7 linked regions of the Sus scrofa genome follow. The protein of the gene in region 4 binds, or shares a complex with, the protein of the main gene of each other region. Links are inferred from orthologs where the notes say so. Each region holds a gene or a part of one and is shown on either strand. Other genes may lie near its edges. The genes, in order: EPC1, MORF4L2, ANP32E, RUVBL1, ACTR6, UXT and ING3.

Region 1 (3,500 bases), on a different chromosome or scaffold from region 4:
CACCACTAAAACGAAGTGTTGGAGAAGAAATATGCTAGTAGAACATTTCAGTGATTTGCAATGAATCAATGAATGAATAAATTCATATAAGGAACAAATAAGTATGTAAACTTCCATCGCCAAACTTACACATATACACACACACAATATCAAAGGAACCTATGGGGCAATAAGATTAACTCTTCCCTTTAAAATAGAAGTAACAAAACATCACATCCAAACTTAGCCAGCCTAAAGATTAAGAAGCCCCTTCAATTTTTTTACAATGAATTTTTCCCCTAAGATGTTTAGAAATACAAATCTTGGTCTTTAATTGGGCTTTAAAATGTGTTTAAATGCCAAACATCTGTCACGCTTTACGTTCAAAAGTGATTTCTTTTCATAGTATAAGAGGTCATTTTCATCCAATTTTTAATAACCTTTAATAGTAATTTCACTCTCTCAGATAATGAGCTGGGCAGGGTTGTCTGTTAAGGAGATACATTCACAGATTACAAATCGGACTTGAACACAGGGTCTGCCTCTCATCTGACTGAGCGTTTTAGTTTTAGTTTTTAAAATAGGGAGCAGAGGGTGACAGCTTCTATACTCACCTGTAATGTTCTTTCTAAACCCTGTACAGAATGGCTAGGATGCAGATTCAGGCGAAAGCCACTTTGCTGCTCTTTAGATGCAAGGTTCTATGACAACAGTTGGTAATTAGAGATGAACTCTGGTGGGAAACAATGAGGGATAATCATGAGACAGACAAACCTCTCACCTGTGCAGTGGTGGAGGCGGAATTGCTATCTGCTTGCTGTTGCTGAGTTTGTGCAAGCTGCTGTTTCTGCATTAGCGCCAGTTGCTGTTGATGCTGCTGGTATTGTTCGGCTGTAAATGCTAAACATAAAATGAGAAAACACTTTACAAAAACGCACTGCTATTGCGCACCTCTAACCATATACTAGAACGAACTTGAGCATTTTAAAAGATTTTGTGCAGATCTAAAGCATTTTAACAACCTGCTAAAGATCGCCTCCAAACGAAAATCTCAGCATTTTTATAACCACTCTTAACAAGAGTGTCTTGAGTTTAAAGAAATCAAGCTTTCTGAGTTACACCTAGGAAAGAGAAGGTCTCACTTCCCAAGTTTCAAAACCATTATTTTTGTAAGCTCTGACACTTGTGCGAGACAGTGTAAAGGGTAATACCAGCTTTTTAAATCCACATAGTTGAAATTTCAACTCTACACTCAGCTGGAGAAGAAATCTGATAATTACCATTTGGTTTCTAGTTTATTTGTATTACTGTCCCAATGCATTCAGATGATCCCTAGCAGTTCTGTGTAAAAATACTAACTATTCTACATATATTCTAGTTTTAGCCATTACAAACTCTTCCTCTATATGAAATATAAGGTTGTTTATTACCCTTTTTTTTTTTTTTTTTTTGGTAAAGAACCCATCCTTTAAGTTTAATAGGAAGAAAAGAGGCTCCAAAGGTTAATTTTCCCCACCCAATTAACCCACCTGGAAAAAATCCAGTCAATAAGAACGGAGTTGTTTATGTTGGTTTACTGTACAGAATGATGTCTGAGGAAAGACACTGTGTTATGCTACTTATGTTTGTCTATGGAGAGCTCAGTTCTAAAAAAAACAAACAAAAAAATGTTCATTTATTACCCCCCCAAAAAGTGTGTGCAGCTTTTAAAAAGGAAACCTTTTTCTTTTTTTTTTTTTTTTTTTTTTGCCAATTAAAAAAAAAAGAAAAAAAAAAAAAAGCACATACAATCACAACGTCTGACTTTCAAAGGCTTCTTTAAGAAGCCTGTGATGTTTGGGTAAGAATTATTTTAAAATAAACAAAAAAAAAAAGGGTTATCATGCATCCCTGACTTAGGGAATCTATAAACCATGCATACTACCTCAATCTAAAGTTTAATGTTTTCAAAAGACTGTCAACTAGTTGATTATTGTCTTTAACTGCATTTTGATGATTTAGTTAAAATACTACTTCATCAAGTTTTGTAATTTTCACTCACAACTCATAAAGAATCTTTATCTCCCGGGATATAGCTTCTGTCTAAGACAACTACAAAATGCTTCAATAGATGTTAGGTAGAAATTCTACCATATTTTGAATAAATCAGATAACTGCAAAGTAATAGTTAAGAAAACCTCAGAAGTTATTAGTATTTACACAGGTTCTTATACTTCAGCTGAACAATTCTCTTAGGCTATAAAGACAAAAAGTTTCTTGTTGGAAAAATGCTATGATTCGTTTTCTTCTTCTGGGTGTTACAAATCTGGTTGCAATCCCTCCTTTGACCAGTTTCTTTTCCTAGTGTGCAGTCCTCAGACCTGAATTCTCCAGGAAAAGACTTTATTGATTAGAGGATAATCCCCAAATCAAAGTCACTGTCAACATGACCATTTCCATATAACAGAAATGGGGTTAAATCAGAATTGAAGAAAAAGTGAAAAAATAATGCTTCCCTGAACGAATGTTTGTGATTAACATAATATTTAGCTTTATTTAAAAAAAAGTCCGTAAAAAGCAACTGTTTAAAACAAAAGATACTGAATTTATCAGATAGTTTTGCTAATATGTTCTTGCGATTTATACTTTAATTTCCTAAGTTTGCGTGAGATGCCTAAATCTTGAGTTTCCTCATAGGAAATGCTTAGTCAACTTTTAAAAAAAGAAAAGAAAACAGACCATTTCTGAAAGGTGTCATTATACATCTAGAAGACAGTAACTTAGCATTCATTATAAAGATCTATGTATAAAACTCCATGTATATAAATGAAAATATTCTTTTATAGAACTTTGCTCGTGTTAGTGTGTTTTAATGAAAAAATTAGCAATATTTAAATTGGAAATCAATTTGAATAAAAGTTCCAAATATTTTTGCCCTATTTAAATCAACATTTTAGTCTTTAGTCTTTGAGAGTTTTATAGGAATTTTACATTTTAACAACTGTTAACTTCCTCCTGATACAGATTTAGACATAAAAATGCAACTAAGTTAGATGACTGTGCTATAGATTCTAGAGCCCTATGATATCAGCCTTTCTTGAACATCTCTATACTCCAGAGTCCAGTTATGAAGTCCTTTTCCAGCCATGAGGTGCTAAACTTTTATATTTCTTTGGAGAAATAAAATTCCAATCCAAATGGCTGTATGAATGAATGGGAAAGTTTGGACAAAGGTAAGGCAGTAAATTTGGGCAAATAAAATCTAGGCTACGTTTTACACTGAGGCAACCTTGGACGTCATGATAATTCAAACTGTAATGCTCAGTGGAAATAAACAAAAATGACCATATTTCCCTAAATCTCTATCCAGGAAGAAAGTTTTCAGGTTGCATGTCTAAGGATTCCAGATAAGGTGTGGCAGTCAAGTTTGCAGTTCACACAAAGATGGACAAGATGGTTTTGTGGACAGATGACCAAACCTTGAATCAGAATCATTTCAGAGAAACACGTAATTTTAAATCAGGAGGGATTCTTGGTGGTTT
Region 2 (3,986 bases), on a different chromosome or scaffold from region 4:
ATAATTTTTAATCTGTGAAACGGGACAGAGAACATGCAGGGTGTCTCAATAGAACATGTACTTTTTTTTTTTTTTTTTTTTTTTTTTTTGGCTTTACATTCTGCAGCACCCTCTAGTGGAGTGTACAAAAATAAGCATTTTATTTCTGCTCTTCAAAGCAGTGCTTTTTAACTTCGGTGTGCGCTGGAATAACCAGAACAGTTTGTTATCTGTCGTAACACAGAAAGCCAAACCCTACTCCTAGAATTTCTGACTGGTTAGGTTGGAGGTGAGGCCTGAGACTATAAATTTCTGACAACTTCCCAAAAGGTGATAATGATGCTACCGGTGAGTCTGGGAAACACACTTTGAGAACCTCTGCTCTAAACCTCACCCATTCCCCGGGGGGGGGGGGGGGTGTATGTGTGCGTATTTATGAGCGCATACCTGCGTGCATGCACACATGTATAGGATCTATAACTGAAAGAGGTACAACTTTTGTTTGATTTTGATTAGTATCCATCTAATAAGGATTTTGTGAAGAAGAAAAGAATATCTGTGTGAAGAATATGGTAACACTACCTAAAACACAGAAGGCATGCAAAAAAAAACCTGAAAGCACAGCATATAAATCCCAGGGCCTCAGAACTAGTAAATGGTGGAGTAAGGTTTAAAATCAGGTCTTTGACTCCAAAAACATAATACGGTTTACCAGTACCACTACAGAAAACAGGGTAGAAACACATACCTAATCATAATTTCAAGAGGAAAAGAAAATCAGTTTTCAGTAATTGGGTCCAAGTCCAGTAAAGATGTATGTCTTTACTAACTAAACAAGCCATCTATATTTTCACTTGGGGTGGGGGTGGGTAAGGGTGAGGGAAGCACTTGAAGTGAAGATCCTAACCCCAGAGACGCTTCCAATCTTCATCAGCACCAGTACCTCAAGTCTTTCATCAGTTCTGACTGCCCACCCCTGGCAAAAAAAAAAAAAGGCAAGAAAGAAAGAAGAATGGGAGGGGTGATTTTTTTTAATAAGGAAATGAGGTAAAACATTTGTATCTAGGGCCATAGTCTCCTGATAGAGCAATTAACAGAAATTAAATTGATTTTTCCCCAGCAATGAAATATATATGAGTGATTTCTATAGATTGAAGAGTTCAGCAAATCAGAAAGGGGGGGGGAATCCCATAATTCCAGGGACCAAACAGCCAATCCTTTGATGGAATTTGGCGGCATCTAGTGGCAGATGCAAAAGGTATAAACCTCATCCAGAGAACTTTCTGGAAAATTAACTGAGCGCGTACTTGCCTGAAGAGCACACTGCTTGGAGATCAGGAGTGAAAGGTAAGAGAGCCTCAACTCCTACAGAAATTGGGAGTCCCTAGTGGAGGGGAAGTCTGTTGTATATAGATATTCTCTGCAGAAAATTGTTTGTGCCAAGAGAATTGTACAAAACTTGGGGAAGGGGGGAGGGGAGGGAGCGGGTAAGAGGTGGGGAGAAGGTTATTAGGGAACAGGAAAGAAACTGTTTCGTGGAATTGCTAATATAGGAACGGGAAGGTTCGGCTTTTAACCACTGGAGGGCTAGGGTTTAATACAGGATTTTGACACGGAAAAAAACGTGGGAAGAAAGTGTAATTTTAGGGTTTAAAATTAAATCGATGAGAGATCGAAATATCCCTAGCAAAGACCCTTTATCTTAGTTACGGTCGCCTTGCCTTAACTATTTAATGATTTTCCTTTTCATCAGAACAATATTCAAACCTACGAAAGTAGAAAACGATTCTTACAGAGCGCGCGCCCCCGCACACATCCGTGCGCGCGCGTGTACACACACTCACACACACACACACACACACACACGAAGGCGCACGCACCCGCTCGGCGACACACAACGGCCCCAACGCTAGGGGCGCACGCCTGCGCACACCCGCCTCCAACGCCACGAGGCCTGGCGTTCGCGCATAAGCCATCCCCAAGGCCACGCGGGCTCGCCTGCGCACAAACGCCGTGGCCCTGACACCACACGGCCGCAGCACGCCGCCACCCGCCACCAGCATACACACCGAAACCCCACTCTGCCTTTTTTTTTTTCTCCAAGAGTTGCGCAAGAGGTTGGGGGCGTGGCCCCAGATTTGACCTCGCGCTTCCCCACTCGCGGGAACTTTAGCTCATTTCCGCCCATCCTGTTTCCGCAGGCCACGTAGACACTTCCTTTCCCAGTGGAAAAAAAACCCATAATGCCTCCCTGCAGGAAAAAAAAAAAAAAAAAAGAAAGAAAGAAAAAAAAAAAAAGAAAAAACCTCTGGTCAGAGGAACTCTGGGTCGTGAAAATAGGCCACGTGAACACCCTGCCCTATAGACTTATGACCCAACTGCTGTCGCGCTTTTGGGGGGCGGGCTAAGAACCTAAGAGGGCGAACGTCATTGGCCACAGTCCGCACTAAAGGAGGAAGGTGATTGGTTTTCCTCAAGTCTTAACCGTGAAGAAGCAGGTTGCTAGCACCCGCCTTTACTGCGGCTAAGTGTCATTGCTGACGTGGTGGGCTTCCACCAATCATTTGGTTATGGAACATTCTAAAACTTAGGCAAGACGATTGTGATTGGCTAGAGGGCGTAAGCCCGCCTCCAGGGTGACGTGTCTGCCTATGGATATCAGTTGCCAGAGAAACCTGGCTTTACTATGGCGGTTGGAGGGTCGGCAGTGATCACACGTCGGCTGCTGGAAAGAACTGGATTCTCGTTTCAGGTTTCGGGGTGGGGGTGGGGAGAAAGGGTTGCCGATTTCCTCTTATCGTTGCGTATATAGACAAGATTAACTGATGGCTTCACAATCAGGCAGAGCTAGATTCAAATGCCTACTCGCCAACGCCCAGCTTGGGCTGGCTCCCGTTCTTTCTGTGTCTCGGTTTCCATGTTTGTAAAATGGTGATAATAATAGTATCTACCTCAGAGACGTGTGCCTCAGAGGCGTGTGCTGTATATTAGTGCGTATAACTAACGAATGCAAAGTAATATAATATAATACGCTTAATAACTTAATATGAAGCCTGACTCCGGAAGATATTAGCTGTTATTATGGAGAGAAAAAAACGCGTAATAGAGAAAGAAAACATAAATTATGTAAAGTCGTTCATTATAGTGTTTTTCCTGCCCATCATCTCCTCCCCTAGAAGAAATTCGAGATATAAAAGAGACGTATCAGTTTTTACCGATGGAATAGTTTATTTGGGAATTGCCTCAAAATAGCGGGGATTGGAATTTTCCATATTGAAAAGTTTAAAAAAAAAGCGGCGGGGGGGATGGGGGTGGGGAGAGATGGAGAATGAGCGAGCTGGAGATGAACCACATGCGATGAGTAGGCCTTGTTTGGATCCTGATTCGGACACATTAACTATATTTTTTTAAAAAACTGTTTAAGATGCATCGGGATATTTTGAAGTCGTATTCAAATTCGATTTTTTGGGGGAAATTGATGACGATGTTTTAGACGTTAAAATGGTATTGTGGTTATGGTTTCAAATTGTCTTTAGCTTGTAGCAATATATATGAAAATACGGATTAAATAGTAAAATGTCTGAGATTGGCTTCAAAATATGTTGATATCTATGATTTGCTTCAAAATAATCTCAGCGGTAGGGGGACGTGGGGAGGGGTATAGATGAAACCAAATTGGCCCTAAGTTAATCGTTTAAGCTGAGTGATGGGCATATATGATTTCTTAAATTATACTGGCTTTCTTGGTATATGTTTGAAATTTTCCATAATAAAATACAGAAAGTCAGCTATTCACTGAGCTTGAAAAAAACGGAGTGGGGGGGGAGCAGTGGGTGGGGTTATAGATAAAACAAGATGGCCTTCAGTTGGTAATTGTTGAAGCTGGAGGATAGATTCGCATAGGCTTATAATATTATTCCCTCTACATTTTTATCCATTTGCAATTATCCTTAATTAAAATTTTTTAAAGGCAAAAACAAACTAGTTTATCAGAAATCAGGGTAAAT
Region 3 (3,500 bases), on a different chromosome or scaffold from region 4:
ATGATTATTATAATATTATGCTCCATGAAGTTATTATATTTGTGTAACCACCACCCAGTAAATGTGGCAACTTTTAAAATAGACTTGGGGGGAAAAAAAAAACATTCATCACAGAATTATCCATAAAAGTCACAAAGTAGAAACAACTCAGATGTCAGTGACTGATGAATGGATAAACAAAATGTAATGTATCCATACAATGGAATGTTGAATATATCAGCCCTAAAAATGAAGTGCTGATACATGTTACAATGTGAGTGAACCTTAAAAACAATTCTGCTAAGTGGAAGAAGCCATACTCAAAAGCCACATTAATGACACCATTTATATGAAATGTCCCATAGAGACAAATTCATAGAGACAAAGTAGATTAATGGTTGCCAGGGCTGGGGGAGAGGAGGATGGTGAGTGACTGCTAATGGATAGGGGTTTTTTTGAGGGGGTCATGGAAATGTTCTAGAGAGGTGAATACGTTTTTGGATATATGAGTGACTAATAGATCAGATGGTAGAATAGCTATTGTTAGTAATGGGACACTGTTATCATTGGTTGAAAAGTTCTTATAAGAAGAAATTTGATGGATAAGCTATGTTATAAAATGATGGACAGGCAGGTTTTTGAAGTATTTTTGAAGTAAAACAAACTTTAGTACATGTAATGTTTTGATGAAAATCTATATGTTGGGGAAATTTCAATATTTAGACACCATATATTTCAGACAGTAAATATGGATGTTGTAAAAGAGAAATCTCCAAAATAATCACACTGAGATACTTTCCACCCACTGGCTTAAGAGTTTTAAGGGCCAGGGCAAAAAAGATCAACATACTAGCCAAAGACATTTGTCCAGACATTTGCTTATCTCTTAAAATATTTTAAAGATGGAGATGAAGATGATGAAGATGAAGAGGAAGATGAAGCTGGTCCACCTGAAGGATATGAGGAAGAGGAAGAAGAAGAGGAGGACGAGGATGATGATGAGGATGAAGATGAAGCAGGCTCAGAACTGGGAGAGGGAGAAGAGGAAGTGGGCCTCTCCTACTTAATGAAAGAAGAAATTCAGGTGAATAGACCTTCTTATGTGCATTGAAAATTATTTAGGCATAGGGTTATGTAATATAAAAAGTAAGTTGTGTAGAAATCAGAGTTGTTTCTAATTTGTGTGTGTGTGTGTGTGTCTGCCTGTCTTTTTTCCACTGCCTCCCAGTTCATACGACATCCAGATAATCATGAACCCTGTGATTTTACCTCCCAGTTATCTTTCAGATTCATTCTGCCCTCAGCACCATGGTGTAGTGTACACATTTTACAATGTTTCCACGCCTGTTTCTACATTTATAAAAACGAGATTATACCAATCTCCTAGGGTCAATTTAAGGATTTAATGAAATAATATATGTAAAGAATCTAGTTGCTGGCATGTTGTGGGCACTCATGAAGACTTGCTTTTCCCCTAATTATTTCTTGCCTTTACTCTTCTAGTACTTTTCTAAATGGTCTCTCTGAGAACAGCGGTTGCCACTTAGGTGTACCCTCCACAGTGTTTGCCTGCCTAGTCTGCATGCAAATGTGAGCCCATCACTAGCCTACTTGAAACCCTTTAATGTCTCTCTGTTGCCACCAGACTTACAAGGCCTTTCATTATCTAGCCTCTGCTTCCTTCTCTAGCTTCATCTCCCTCAATACCAAATCAAATCATACATGAAGCTCTCATTGCCCTTCTGTCTATTCACACATTGTTTATCTAAAATGGGGTTCATGCCTTCTGATGAACTTTCTTTTTTTTTTTTTTTTTCAGGCAAAGATAAATACCGTAAAGTGTACTGATTTTATGTATAACTCCATGAAATGTTATATATGTACACATGTAACTACCACTCATATTATGCCTTGTGATTCTTTAAAAACTCAACTCTGGGAGTTCCCGTCATGGCGCAGTGGTTAACAAATCCGACTAGGAACCATGAGGTTGCGGGTTCGGTCCCTGCCCTTGCTCAGTGGGTTAATGATCCGGCATTGCCGTGAGCTGTGGTGTAGGTTGCAGACGCGGCTCGGATCCCGCGTTGCTGTGGCTCTGGCGTAGGCCGGTGGCTGCAGCTCCGATTGGACCCCTAGCCTGGGAACCTCCATATGCCGCGGGAGCAGCCTAAGAAATAGCAACAACAACAACAACAAAAGACAAAAAAAAAAAACCTCAACTCTGGAGTTGCCTTATTACTGAAGTTTTCTATACATTTTTTTTTTTTTTTTTTTTTTTTTTTTTTTAGGGCTGGACCTGTGGCATATGGAAGTTCCCAGGTTGGGGGCCTAGGCCACAGCTCATGGCAACTCCAGATCCTTAACCCACTGAGTGAGGCCAGGGATCGAACCCACATCCTTATGGATCCTAGTTGGGTTCATTAACCACTGAGCATGAAGGGAACTCCCACCTATACTTTTTAATAGGTAATCATTCCATACTCTGTTACCTTTGAACTTTGGTTAGATTCTGTAGATGCTGTAAAAACTTGTTTATTTGGCCACGTTCTGCTAGATCGCTCCTTCAGGGAAGGGCCATTCATCTTCATATCTCTCAGCATCTACTACATTGACTGGGACGTAGTAGGTTCACAGGAAATATCAATTGACTTGAACAAATGATCTTTAGCCCCTGGGAGTTTAAATTATTTTCTCCTCATGTTAAATTATTGAATTTTGTTTTCATACTTCATAATTTAAAGTAATATTTATTATTAAAAAAATCTCTTATTTAGACTAGAAATTTTTAGTATTCTTATTTGTTCTCCTAATGAATTTTACATTGGTTAGATAAGACTATCACAGAATAATGATGACTTCTCTCTGATACTGTTTAAAATATGAAACTCCTGGAGTTCCCGTCGTGGTGCAGTGGTTAACGAATCCGACTAGGAACCATGAGGTTGCGGGTTCGGTCCCTGCCCTTGCTCAGTGGGTTAATGATCCGGCGTTGCCGTGAGCTGTGGTGTAGGTTGCAGATGGGGCTCAGATCCCGCGTTGCTGTGGCTCTGGCGTAGGCTTGTGGCTACAGCTCCGATTAGACCCCTAGCCTGGGAACCTCCATATGCCGCAGGAGCGGCCCAAGAAATAGCAAAAAGACAAATAAATAAATAAATAAATAAATAAAATATGAAACTCCTGGAGTTCCCGTTGTGGCGCAGTGGTTAACGAATCTGACTAGGAACCATGAGGTTGCGGGTTCAATCCCTGGCCTTGCTCAGTGGGTTAAGGATCTGGTGTTGCTGTGAGCTGTGGTGTAGGTTGCAGACGTGGCTCCGATCCCGAGTTGCTGTGGCTCTGGTGTAGGCCGGTGGCTATAGCTCCGATTCGACCCCTAGCCTGGGAACCTCCATATGCTGTAAGAGTGGCCCAAAAAGACAACAACAACAAAAAAATTATGAAACTCCTGCAGAAAAAATGGGACTTAAACTTGTTTGGGGCCTTAGCGAGTTAGCAGCTTTAAAAATTTTGAGTATTTAAAG
Region 4 (3,500 bases):
TGCAGCAAGACTGACAGTTGGTCTGGAGCCTCCAGCATACAAAATGTTCCTGTGCCAGCAGGCCTGCTGCTGTCCTACCTGGGGCCGTGCGTTGGCCACATCCAAGTCATGCAAGGTCACATCCTGGATGATTTCCTTCTTCTTGTGCACATCCCCCTTGGGCAGGGGGACATACTCCTCAGCTTCAAGGTCGAATTCTGTGGCGTAGGTATCGCACCTGCCCTGCCTCTGCAGAGAGAGAGAGGCCCGAGGCCTGGGGAGTTCCACTGCCAAGTCCCCAAGCGGCCCAGCGCCAAGTGAGATAAAAGTCCCAGGTCCCAACTGCGGCCCAACAGCCGCCTTGACAAACTCCAAACGTGGCCTGCTTCCCTGCTGCCCAGAGGAGGCAGTATCTGCTCATCGCTGTGCTCCAAAACCCAGTTGAAAAACACCCGATACTCTCTCCCAGAATCTCCCCCCTCCTTCCTTTTAACTGTATGCAATTTCTGATAAAGGGCAAATCCAGTACATTAACTGGAGATGGAGGGGCTGTTCAAGACTCTTTTGTAGGTGGGTGATTTATTGTATGATATGAAGTATTATGCTCATCCATTAAGCAGTGAGGAACTCTGTACAGGACACTGAAAATCAGATATAAAAAGAATGCCAACTAATGCAGCATTCCTTTCCACATGCATATATCTTGGGAAGAAAATACCAGAGAGATAAAAGGAAGATTAAATACCTTGTGCATTTCAATTTGAAAATGACTACAGTTCTTTCGTTTTCTCACCGTTCTCCCCCTCTAAACAGGTTTTAGTATTTTTCTAACAGACTGTCTCTGTTTTAATCATGAGAAGGTTAAAGAATGCAGATAAAAGGAAAGCAAACTTGACTAAACATAAAGGAGCAACTGCTGACCTTCCATCAGTATCACAAAAGACACCAGAGTCCCTCCCCACACACCCTGGACCCAGGAAGAAAGGAAGCCACTTCCTGGCCACCTGGGTCTCCTTGTGGCATTACCTTCACAGCCCCACTGTTGGCTTCAATGTAAATCACATCGCCAGCCTCTACTCGCTCTTTCTGCAAACTTTCAAAAATGCTGGGGTCCAGCTTTAAAAAAAAAAAAAAAAAAATAGTGAACCAGAGAACACATTCACATATTGTATTTATTTCTGACATATTTTAAGGTAGCTTTCTGTCAGAGTGTTGAGGTAGCTATGACCCTATGGAAAGAAAAAGAACGTGTGTATACGCACACATGTGTCAGCTTGTGTGAGACTGGCTTTGGGGTTTCAGTGCCCAGTGAAGGCAGGAGAGGGGCACGAAGGGAGACCCAAGCCACTCATTGCCTTTCTTCCCAAGGTTGCAAACTGGCAGCTATGGCTCTGATTGCTTGCAGGTAGGGCCCATACTGTCCACAGGACCACAGACCCAGACACCCATTTTGAGATCGCTTCCCCTGCTTCAATTCTTCACTCTTCCCATGTTAGGCAGGCGTGGTGTTTTTCTGCAAGTGAAGCATGCTAAACCTGCTTACACTTCGTGGCTGGCATTCTGTGGGCCTAAGATTTTGGACAAGCCTCTCTGAGCCTCAGTTTCCTCACCTATATAATGGCACCAGGGGTGACCACCATCACAGACGTGTAAAATTCAAAGAAAACATAAACCAGGATCTTTCCCAAGCCACTCAAGCAAATCCCTGTGTTTGCTCCCTTGAGCCCATCTGCTTATGTCTCCAGAAAAGTAAAGTAGCACATTTTGGAACTGATGCCTTTTTCCAGATCATCCACATTCAGGCTACCCTACGTGATAAATACTCTAAGACAGCATCTTTTTAAGGGGTCAATATTTAGAAACAAGTTTCTCGCAGTTAAACTTCGAAGGGAGCTGTTACTCTCCATTAAACTTTACATTTTATATATGAAAAAACTTCGGCTTTGTTTAATCAAAATTAAAAGGGTAGGAGTTCCCATCGTGGCACAGTGGTTAATGAATCCGACTGGGAACCATGAGGTTGCAGGTTTGGTCCCTGCCCTTGCTCAGTGGGTTAACGATCCGGCGTTGCTGTGAGCTGTGGTGTAGGTTGCAGACGCGGCTCGGATCCCGCGTTGCTGTGGCTCTGGCGTAGGCCAGTGGCTACAGCTCCGATTCGACCTCCATATGCTGCGGGAGCGGCCCAAGAAATAGCAAAAAGACAAAAAAAATAAAATAAAAAAAAAAAAATAAAAGGGTAAAAACCCAGGACTCAGCGAAAAAAGCCAGATATAAAAGTACACATATTGTACAATTCTATTTACATGAACTGTTCAGAAAAGGCAAATATATAGAAACAGAAAGTAGATGAGTGGTTGCCAGGGGCTGAGGTGGCGGGGGGAGGATGGGGAGCTATTGTCAATGTGTTTCTTTTGGGGTAATGAAAATGCTCTAAATTTGGACTGCGGTGATAGCTATACAACTTTGTAAACAGGCTAAAATTCCTTGAGTAATACACTTGAAATGGGTGAATTTTACTTCAAATGAGAACTCAATGAAGTTGTTACAAAGAGTAACTAACCACAGAAGGCACCCATGGCTCTACCTCCTTGGTGAGGTGGGCCCGAGGGCCCTGAGCATGAAGATGGGGGGGTGGCAGGCCCCTGGCGTAGGGCTGGGATGAGGGAAGGACTCCATAAAGGTGACAGCACTTCCTCCTTCACACTTACATATCCGCAGAGTATTTGAACTCTGTCTCTCCAAACAGCTTGTACATATGCTTAAAGCAGCTAGAAGCACTCATTTTAGAAGCAAAACATTCACCCTTTTGTTATTTTCTTAAAAACAAAACAAAGCTGTGCAGAACAGCTTTATGAATAGCTGAAATAAACTGCATGCCTTATTTTATCTAGCCTACTTTGTATAGTACACATTCTTTTTTTTTCTCAATCATTTTTAATCAGTTAATTTCCCAAATGAATTGACTGAAGATGTAATTACTGGAAAGGTGGCAGATCCTACCCAGAAATCTAATTAATACAGAATGGAAGAGATGAGGAGGAGGTTTAAGAGAGAGAGATTTGCAGAGGCAAGCTCCTGAGATGGAAACCCTGTTAGGAAAAAGAAAAATGGCCCTTAGAAGAAGTGACGTTTTTATGATCTCCATAAAGCAGTGACCAAGAAACCACCTTACAGAATCAAAGAACCATAAAATCACAGAGGAGAGCAAAGATGGAGAAATTATATGGTCAGTCCACTGCAGTTCACAGATTGGAAAATGGAAGCCCAGAGAGCTCAACTGACTGCTAAAGGTCACACAGCAAGCTGGAGGACAGACAACACAGTGGTTAGGACTCAGAGACTGCTCTGCCACTAACTAGCGGTGTGATCCTAGGATACCTGCTTAACCTCCCCACAAGCCTCAGCTCCTTCATTTGTAAAATGAGGAAAATCACACACACACACACACACACACACACACACACACACACTCAGATTTGTTGAAGAACTTGGCCCAGGGCACAGACAACAAATGGGAGCAA
Region 5 (3,986 bases), on a different chromosome or scaffold from region 4:
TTTATTTGTCTTTTTCTAGGGCCGCATCTGAAACTTATGGAGGTTCCCAGCTGGGGGTCTAATCAGAGCTATTGCCTCAGGGTTCCTAGTCGGATTCGTTTCCGCTGCACTATGACAGGACCTCCTCCTGGAGAATTCTTTTTTTTTTTTTTTTTTTTTTTGTTGTTGTTGTTGTTGTTGTTGCTATTTCTTGGGCCGCTACCGCGGCATATGGAGGTTCCCAGGCTAGGGGTCCAATCGGAGCTGTAGCCACCGGCCTACGCCAGAGCCACAGCAATGCGGGATCCGACCCGAGCCGAGCCGCGTCTGCAACCTACACCACAGCTCACGGCAACGCCGGATCGTTAACCCACTGAGCAAGGGCAGGGACCGAACCCGCAACCTCATGGTTCCTAGTCGGATTCGTTAACCACTGCGCCACGACGGGAATTCCCCTGGAAAATTCTTAATACCATCCTGGTTTAAAAAAAAAAAAAGGGCAGGGAGTTCCCATCGTGGCTCAGCAGTAACAAACCTGACTAGTATCCACTAGGATGTGGGTTCAATTCCTGGCCTTGCTCCGTGGGTTAAGTAAGGATCCTGTGTGGCTGCGGCTGTGGTGTAGGCTAGCAGCTACAGCTCCAATTTGACCCCTAGCATGGAAACTTTCATATGCCACAGGTCAGGCCCTAAAAAGACATAAGAAAAAAAGGGGAGAGGGGAACAAGTTCAGCATTCTAACCAGAAAATTAAGTTTCCAATGAGTCAAAGATTTTCAATCTGTAAGATGCTATAGGGTACACAAGTAGGAAGTAGTTTTAAATACAGTTGTTACCCACCATGAGTTTACAGTCTGGTTAGGAAGACAAACTAGAGCCATGATCAGTCATACATGTGTACACATGTATGGTTGTGTATACACACACACACACACACACACACACACACACACACACACACACAAGAAAGGGGGACAGAGTTTATCACCCCAAAACATGCCACTTTAGCATGAGGACTATTTTGAGTTAAAAGCATCAAAATCCTTTTATTAATTGGGGTGATACTGTAAAGATGTTTTGTACCTGATATTTCACTTACTATATTGTCATTTTCTCTCTGTTTAGTCTTTGAGGACATGATTTTTAAAACCTGCACTGTAGCCAATCTTATGGCTATAATTTAATTGTAATTAATTTACTATTCTTGATTATTTAGCTTGCTTCCTCCTCTTTTTTTGTCACCATACAGTGTCTATAAATGATACAGAGAATTCCGGGAGTTCCTGTAGTGACTCAGCAGTAACAAACCAAACTAGTATCCATGAGGCCATGGGTTCAATCCCCGGCCTCGCTCAGTGGGTTAAGGATCCGGCATTGCCGGGACCTGTGGTGTACTTGCAGATGTGGCTCGGATCCTGCGTTGCTGTGGCTGTAGGCCAGCAGCTATAGCTCTGATTCTATCCATAGCCTGGGCACTTCCATATGCCTCGGGTGAGCCCCTAAAAAAAAGACCAAAAAAAAAATGATACAGAGAATTCTGTACCTACTCTTATCAGGAACTCATAAATTATTCCTCAGGTAACTAATAAGAGAATAGCTGTTGGCAGACAAGAACAATGATACACATTGCCAAAATAAGACCGTAACAATTTACATTCCTATGCAGTTTGTTCTCTCAAAAATGAAAAGAGGTAAGAAGGGGAAAAAGTGTCTTGTGAATATGCCAGAATAAAAGCACATCTTTCAATTTGCTTAGTCTTTTTTTGTCTTTTTGTCTTTTTAGGGCCGCACCTGCAGCATATGGGGGTTCCCAGGCTAGGGGTTGAATTGGAGCTGCAGCCGCCAGCCTATACCACAGCGACAACACGGGATCCAAGCCGTGCCTGAGACCTACACAGTTCACCGAAACGCCAGATCCTTAACCCACTGAGCAACACCAGGGATCAAACCCATGTCTTCACGGATGCTAGTCAGGTTCATTAACCGCTGAGCCACAGACAGGAACTCCCTACATTTGCTTAGTATTTACTCAAACATATATACTTCACGAATGCCACTATAGTATTGCTTAACTGAGTCAAGTGCCAAGCCAAAGAGCACTTGGAAGGGCTTAAGTACAAAGCCTCAAAGTCTCTAGCCACTAAGTGGTTTTCACACTTTTGGAGTTCATAGAACCCTTTGAGGAGCGGACGAAAGCCGTAAAACGGAGTTCCCTGTGTCGCTCAGCGGTTTATGCCTGGGAACTCACACATGGAGATGGGTGCGTCCCTAAAAAGCCAAAAAAAAAAAAAAAAAAAAAGCTGTAACAGTGTCCCTAAGAAAATGCATAAACACACAAAATGCCCATGATTCCTGAGGATTCATGAATTCATGAACTTTGCGCAGGGAACCCTCCCCCTATGTCCGGAACGGCTTCCCTACAAGCCTATTTTCCTGAGCCATTTCCTGTTATGAAACAAAACACGCGACCCACTTCCGGGGCCCAGGGGCCCAAAATTAATAACAAAGTCCCACTTCAAAGCATCCCAACAGCCCGGCTCCAACCACGGCATCCCTCTGGCTGAATGAGGGCCTCGCAGGGGAGTTTACTGACATCCCACGATGAAGCGCAGCATCTGTAACTTATTAGGTCTGTAGGCCTTGTCCCTCAGAGGAACCGTACACTTACGAGACATTTTCATGGCTGTAACCAATTTTTGCATTGTAGGCTCCGTTATCCAGTACTAAGGTCGTCATTTTAGCGCGAAAGACACCAAGGCAGCTTTCCTTTCCCAACCCTTCTGCTCACGCTTTTTCCGGTACTCTATGGTTTGCACCCAGGGAGCCGGAAGAGCGTTTCCTGTATCCCTTAGCAACTGAGGACGCCGGAAGTCAGAAAGTGCTTGGCGTCGCGCAACTTGTCTGCAATTGTTTTAGGGTGCTTCCTATCCAAACTCATGTAAGTTCTGGCCACATTCAATAAAAGGAAAATCGCTGCTTTTTCCGCCCAATGCGTGCTGCCTTTACTTTGCAGATTAAGTCGCTCTTGGAAGTTTCTTATAATGCCTGTAAGGAACTAGCATTGCGGGGTTTGCTGCGCAAACGTTAGGGGTGCATGTGTATTCAAATGGTATTGTTTAGACAGTGACATTGAAACTGACAGCATTAAGGGCCTGAACACAAAATGGGACTTGCACTTAGGTGCTGGGGACCAGAGCCCACGTTTTAAATTAGCATTCACCCAATGTCTGGACTTAATGACGTTCAGGTTCTTAATGCCTCTGAGCAGAAGGAATTCAGCGACAGACAAAGTGATAGGCAAGAAATAGGTTTATTAGGATAGAAGCTTAGGAGAGATGCAAGCAGGCAGGCAAGGAAGCTCTGCCCCAGGAGGATACTGGTGGGCTACAGTTTTATCATCCAAGGGGAGTGGGGATCAGAAAAGACCGCCTCTTCCTTTACTAGCTCCTCCTTGATATCCGGTAAGGTGTGTATTCAAATCAGCAAAGGGGTGGTCCTCAAATTCCTTCCCAAGGTCTGAATCTGAATGCAGGCCTCATCCCATCCCCCACTCAACGACCTAAGGCAATTCTCGGACCTCCCCTAGTCCAGCAAGCCTGCCCTATCCTGAAGGCTTCTTTGAGCAATTTATTAACTTACAATGACCTCCCCAAATCCCCTAGATTTCCCTCTCTCTCTATGATCCTTTATTAGGACTTTTACAACTGCCTGTGCCTACTCCATCCCCATCAAAGTCGTTTGAAGAATAAATTGCAAAACCTTATGCACCATGGAATTGGATAGGAGGACTCCAGCTTCATTACTTGCCACTGCCCATCCGACTGTATCCAACCACCCTGTTACAAATATGCTGTTCCGTCAACAGCCGTGCTTTCTAGCACTCACATTCTTCCCTGTCTACTTGTCCTTTTGGATGGGGCTTTTTTTTTTTTAATGGCCACAACCCTGCCTTACGGAAGTTCCCAGGCCAGAGATTTAATCCCAGCCAGAGCTGTGACCCTTGCCTGC
Region 6 (2,745 bases), on a different chromosome or scaffold from region 4:
CCTAGAATGAGGACCGGACCAGGGAGGGCGGGCGAGATCGGCCCTGCGCCCATTGCTGGAGCTGTAACTATTTAGAAGCTGGGACAAGGCCAAGGTTGGGCCTAGACGGGCGTGGGTGTAATTTAAGTTACCTGAGGAACGATTGGAGTGTGGGAGAAGGGTAAACTTTAGGGCCAGGAGTGAAAGGTTGATTGCCTTAGGGAACAAACCGCCACCCTGAATCGGCCCGTTCTCTATGGTTAATTCAAGCAGTAGTGCACAGGAAAGGAAATAGAAAGAAGGGTCAGGTGGGGGCCCAGGTTGCCAAGGCGATGGTAGAGAGGGCAGAGCGGAAAGTCAGGTGGCACATTCTGCCAGGAAACAGGCTGGAGGCGGCACTTCAGTGGTGCTTTAAAGATTCTACACAGACTGGATCTCTGCGCCTCCCAGTAACATTGTGCTTTAGAAACGGCACTTTAGCCAACAGCAGAAGTTAATGGGGGAAAGAAGGGCCACGTGACTCAAAGACATTCAGGCTCTTTAATGTCAAGGGAGGTAGGAAGAAGTCAGTGGCGAGGCTCGGGGAAATTCTGCAGACCTTGTAGTTCTCTAAGCCCCTGAAAAAGAGAACAGAAGAGATTGAACGGAGACTGGGTCCAGGCCCCACCTCAGGCTTGCTTGGAACTCCCTTCCCTCAGAGCCAGCCTGGTTCCTGTCTGACTCATTTGGAGGGAAAGATGGCCCTTCCCATCTCTGGCTCTCTCCCTTCCTCAGGACACCACCCTAAATATTTGGAGATAGAGTCTGGGAGTGGGGTGAGCTGCTCTCACCTCTAGCAACATGTGGATATGGGCCTTGATATTCATGGAGTCCTTGGTGAGGCTGTCGCTGAGCCTGGAGAAAAGAAACGAGAAAGGGCGAGGTGGGCCCCACTTAGGATCCGTGAGGATGATGTGCCCTCACCGCTTCAAGAACCGCCTAAGTCCTGGATGACTTCCACACGGCAGGTGGTGGGACCCCTACTACCTGGCCTGCTCCTAGGCAGACATGCCTGGCCGCCATCTGCACTACACTGATTCCAAGACCTTTACTGAATGCCTACTCTATGCCAGGTTGTTTTAGGTACTGGGGAGATAGCAGCAGACATAGCAAACGAAAATCTCGGCCTCTTGGAGCTCAGATTCTCATTAAGGGGGACAGATGATGGAGTAAAATATGGAGTATGTCAGATGGTTAAAATTATAATGAAAAAAAAATTAAATGAGAGAGGATATGGGAGTACAGGAGTGGGGGCTGGAATTCGAATTAGGGTGCTTAGGGATGGCCTCACTGAGAAGCGTTTGAGTAGAGACTTAAAACAAAGAAGCGAGTCATGTGGACATATGGAGGATGTGTGTTCCAGGCACAAGGGGTGGAGAGTGCAAAGGCTCTGAGGTGGGCGCGTACCTGGCATGTCTGAGGCCCAGCGAAGAGGCCAGTGTGGCTGGAGAAGAAAAAGTGAAGTGGGGAGGTAGAGGAGGCGAGGTCACGGAGGTAAGTGGGGGAGATAGTTCGTGTAAAATCTACCAGGCCATGGTGAGGACTCTGGCTTTGACTCTAAGTGGGATGGGAGCAAGGGGAGTATTGTGATCAGAGAAGGGAGGTCAAATGACTAGGGTTTCAGAGGATCCATCTGGCTGCTGTGTGGAGAACCGACTGGGGATAAGGACAGCTGGTGTGGAAGAGGAAGGCCACTGCAGAGGCTGTCGGAATCGTCCAGGTGAGAGATGCAGACTCGGACCGCAGTGGCAGCGGTTGAGGGGATGAGAAATGATTGGAGCTGGGATACTTCTTTGAAGGTAGAGTCAATAGGATTTACCAAAGGAGGATGTTGGATGCAAGAGAGAGAGGACTCAAGGAAGACACCAAGGCTTAAAGCAACTGGAAAGCGGGACCACTCTGGCTCTGGGCTGTTGAGCTACGCCAACCAGCCCATTCCTACCTCCTGACATCTAAGCCAACTGCGACCAGGCTCACCCAAAAGAAGCCTAAGTGATGCAAAGGATAAAAGAAGGCCTTTCTGAAGAATGAGTAAGAGTTAAACAGGACAGTCTTTCACAAGAAGTCCGAGAGGCCGGAAAGAGCTTCTAGAGGAGCAATCAGGAGGCCAGTGTTAGAAAGTAAGTGAATGGTGGAAGGAAAGTGGCACAAGATCCAAGAGGTAGGCAAGGGCTAGATCATGCACGGTCTTGATATCCTGATAAGGAAGGTGGATTCTATTGTGCCGAGTTATCCTGTCAACGTAAGAGTCAGTTTTGGGGAAACTAAATACTGTTAAGAAAAGTAGAAGGCAACGACATAGGATGTTAAATTGGAAAAAAAAAAAAGAGTGTAAACTCATTTATGTATCACTATCTCCCCCCAGTTTTTCTATTTTGGCTCCCCCGCAGCATATGGAGTTCTGGGTTAGGCATCAGATCCAAGCCACAGCTGCTATCTATGCTGCAGCTGCAGCAACACTGGATCCTTTAACCCGCTGTGCCGGGCTGGGTATCGAACCTGCAGCCTGGTGCTGCAGAGATGTGGCCGATCCTGCTGCACCACAGCAGGAACTCCACTATCTCCCAAATTTGTATTTTCTTCTTTGGCTGGGGTGGGGGCATGCAGAGGTTCCCCGGCCAGGGATAGAACCTGTGCCACAGTGGCAACCCGAGCCACAGTGGTGACAACACCAGGTCCTTAAATACCAGGCCGCCAGGGAACTCCCCAAATTTATATTTTCAGTCC
Region 7 (2,272 bases), on a different chromosome or scaffold from region 4:
CATTATTAAAGAAATAACAGATTACGCAGCATTCTGTGTCCTGGGCCTCTGTCCTTTTTAGATTATGAAAATTGGAAGTTAAATGGAATTCAGAAATTTTCATTATTAAGTGTGTAAAGTATAAATACAAGTAATTTTTTAAAAACTTTATTTTAACACCTAATACAATTCCAATTTTAAGGATTACTTGCACAAAAAAATAAACACATTTGGTATAAAAATGTATCACTTTAACACCCTCTCCCTTCAGCCCCTCCCCCTCCCACCCTCATGAACTGCATTCTATCTGGATGCAGAAACATATAAAGACTAATGGCACAGATTAGTTTTTACCTACAGGAGTTTCTGTTTATGTACCCAGGTACTCTAGAGGACACCAGCCCACTTTATCACATGAACCATTTCCTTCAGCCCGCTGAATTTAGTTTCACAAAGAAACAAAGCTTATTATAAAGGCATTTAAAAAACCATTATCTTAAATTCTTTTTAGAAGCACTGTCTTTTTTTTTTTTTTTTTTTTTTTGCAACCATTTATATACAGTGTTACATAACAGCTCTGGAGTACAGTACATGCAGCAGAACATACCTGTTGAATATAAAATACTTTTCTTAAAATCTTCATCGTTGGAATTCATTGAAGTGTAAATTATAGAATGCCCATTACTTTGAGAAAATGGTTGAGGAGTACAAATGTCTGCATATGTTGGCCACTGAAATAATCCAAGGCTAACTGGAATAATATTCAGAGCACATCAGGAGTGCATAAATAATTTACTTACATTATTAAAATACAACCCATAAAATTCAAGTTCAAGATCTTATAGGATTGTCTATGTAAATCCTTAAAGTGGGTGCTTGGAAATGCATTGTTTCTTCTTTCGCTTTTCTTCTTTTTTAAAGTCCTATATAAAATGTTGAAGTTGTTTTCTTCCTCAAATGAAATGACCACCCTTATTTGTGCCGACTGCCTCTTCTCTTCATGGCAGCAGTGCACTGTGGACAGTACCATTTCCCTTTCGGCGCTTCTGTCAGTCCAACGCATCCATAATGGAACCATTCTATAGGGCACTAGAAAGCAAACATGAAAAGAAACAGCTTTTTGTCAAAGACTAGGAAGAATGGTAAAACGTGCCCAGGAACTAAATATTAATGATTAGATGTGTGGACTCAGATCGAAGAGCTGGATTAGAGATGATTTAGTCCAACTGATAAGTTTCAGAGATAAGGAAATGGAGACATAGAAAATTATGCATCTTTAGCTGAGTTTCACATAATCTATTCTCATAATCTCAACGAACACAAATTCACTGACTTTCATTTGAAGAGTACATCGACACCAACTCACAAGGACAAGAAGTGAGACAGGTCTCTTACATAGAAGGCAAAATGTATTTCCAAGATTTTATTTAATATTCAGCCTTATTTGTGTTCTTACAAAGTAAAATTAGCCAGCTGTAATGAAAGACATAAAGTGATGCCCTGGGTTTCTTTCTGGGTCTATCTATTCCTAGATATGGAGAGAAAAAGAACTCCGCTGTTCAATATATGAAGTGGCTCTACAAGTGCAAAATCCTAGGACTGAGAACAGCACAACTGGGAATGAGAGGGATCAGAGAGTCTGACAGGGTATTCACAGAAATCTCACTCATCATCTTCAATAACCGCCCGAGAAGACAGTTTACAATGGTCTTCTTGAAATGGCTGGGGGCTACTGTTTTGCAATAACCATAAACAACCCACAAGAGAGTCTATAGAGGAAAGTGGAAGGAGAGTCTTTCTCTACCTGAACGTCTTGGGACCCTGGCTGGTTAGGAAAGTACACATTTTTATGAGCCAACCCTGCTCAATCTTCAAACTGTTTTAAACATTTAAAACTCTTAGCCTTAACCTGCAGATCCTGACATTCAGAGTTGTGTTACCCCTCTGGAGGAAAAGATGGACAAAAAGGGGCTGACAGTGAGAAGGGAATGGAAATTACTAGACAAAAATATTCATGGCATTCAATAAAAACATATCTCTAACCCCAATTAAACTTCATAGAAAATAAATAGGAGTTCTTTTCTTTCAAACCTTCTTTATTTTTTATATCAGAAGTGGCTCTTATCAGCTGACACCTGCAAAGCAGTAGGAAATACTACACTAATGGGAGGGAAATAAGCACATGAGAGCCTTCACCTTAGCATCATGCTTCCTGAAAGGATGTATTGTTCTAAAAGTTCCAATTCTTCACTCTGATAAGTGAACTGAATTCTAGCAAACACAGCATTCTTTG

What was found.
Region 1: RUVBL1 (region 4) and EPC1 share a complex: the UniProt entries of both Homo sapiens proteins name them as parts of the nuA4-related complex. The link is inferred for Sus scrofa from reciprocal best matches to the Homo sapiens genes RUVBL1 and EPC1.
Region 2: RUVBL1 (region 4) and MORF4L2 share a complex: the UniProt entries of both Homo sapiens proteins name them as parts of the nuA4 histone acetyltransferase complex. The link is inferred for Sus scrofa from reciprocal best matches to the Homo sapiens genes RUVBL1 and MORF4L2.
Region 3: RUVBL1 (region 4) and ANP32E share a complex: the UniProt entries of both Homo sapiens proteins name them as parts of the SWR1-like complex. The link is inferred for Sus scrofa from reciprocal best matches to the Homo sapiens genes RUVBL1 and ANP32E.
Region 5: the proteins of RUVBL1 (region 4) and ACTR6 are in contact, whole or in part, in a cryo-EM structure (PDB 6IGM), measured with the Homo sapiens proteins. The link is inferred for Sus scrofa from reciprocal best matches to the Homo sapiens genes RUVBL1 and ACTR6. Residues at the interface, in NP_003698.1 of Homo sapiens: Lys162, Thr163, Ala164, Lys165, Gly166, Thr167, Tyr209; in NP_071941.1 of Homo sapiens: Tyr217, Tyr300, Arg338, Cys339, Leu340, Thr341, Pro342, Thr343.
Region 6: RUVBL1 (region 4) and UXT share a complex: the UniProt entries of both Homo sapiens proteins name them as parts of the PAQosome complex. The link is inferred for Sus scrofa from reciprocal best matches to the Homo sapiens genes RUVBL1 and UXT.
Region 7: RUVBL1 (region 4) and ING3 share a complex: the UniProt entries of both Homo sapiens proteins name them as parts of the SWR1-like complex. The link is inferred for Sus scrofa from reciprocal best matches to the Homo sapiens genes RUVBL1 and ING3.

The regions. Positions count from the first base shown.
Region 1 is NC_010452.4:42,839,523-42,843,022, forward strand, and holds part of EPC1 (enhancer of polycomb homolog 1), read right to left. Parts: intron 880-3,500; coding exon 761-879; intron 681-760; coding exon 594-680; intron 1-593. UniProt on the Homo sapiens protein: Component of the NuA4 histone acetyltransferase (HAT) complex, a multiprotein complex involved in transcriptional activation of select genes principally by acetylation of nucleosomal histones H4 and H2A.
Region 2 is NC_010461.5:84,563,505-84,567,490, reverse strand, and holds the start of MORF4L2 (mortality factor 4-like protein 2), read left to right. Parts: upstream 1-1,186; 5' UTR 1,187-1,326; intron 1,327-2,450; exon of another isoform or gene 2,451-2,731; intron 2,732-3,986. UniProt on the Homo sapiens protein: Component of the NuA4 histone acetyltransferase complex which is involved in transcriptional activation of select genes principally by acetylation of nucleosomal histone H4 and H2A.
Region 3 is NC_010446.5:98,855,614-98,859,113, forward strand, and holds part of ANP32E (acidic leucine-rich nuclear phosphoprotein 32 family member E), read left to right. Parts: intron 1-881; coding exon 882-1,063; intron 1,064-3,500. UniProt on the Homo sapiens protein: Histone chaperone that specifically mediates the genome-wide removal of histone H2A.Z/H2AZ1 from the nucleosome: removes H2A.Z/H2AZ1 from its normal sites of deposition, especially from enhancer and insulator regions.
Region 4 is NC_010455.5:72,227,881-72,231,380, reverse strand, and holds part of RUVBL1 (ruvB-like 1), read right to left. Parts: intron 1,096-3,500; coding exon 1,006-1,095; intron 229-1,005; coding exon 79-228; intron 1-78. UniProt on the Homo sapiens protein: Possesses single-stranded DNA-stimulated ATPase and ATP-dependent DNA helicase (3' to 5') activity; hexamerization is thought to be critical for ATP hydrolysis and adjacent subunits in the ring-like structure contribute to the ATPase activity.
Region 5 is NC_010447.5:83,926,277-83,930,262, forward strand, and holds the start of ACTR6 (actin-related protein 6), read right to left. Parts: upstream 2,801-3,986; 5' UTR 2,715-2,800; coding exon 2,647-2,714; intron 1-2,646. UniProt on the Homo sapiens protein: Required for formation and/or maintenance of proper nucleolar structure and function. Plays a dual role in the regulation of ribosomal DNA (rDNA) transcription.
Region 6 is NC_010461.5:42,175,642-42,178,386, forward strand, and holds the end of UXT (protein UXT), read right to left. Parts: intron 874-2,745; coding exon 810-873; intron 597-809; coding exon 546-596; 3' UTR 501-545; downstream 1-500. UniProt on the Homo sapiens protein: Involved in gene transcription regulation. Acts in concert with the corepressor URI1 to regulate androgen receptor AR-mediated transcription. Together with URI1, associates with chromatin to the NKX3-1 promoter region.
Region 7 is NC_010460.4:25,947,956-25,950,227, forward strand, and holds the end of ING3 (inhibitor of growth protein 3), read right to left. Parts: intron 1,069-2,272; coding exon 952-1,068; 3' UTR 501-951; downstream 1-500. UniProt on the Homo sapiens protein: Component of the NuA4 histone acetyltransferase (HAT) complex which is involved in transcriptional activation of select genes principally by acetylation of nucleosomal histones H4 and H2A.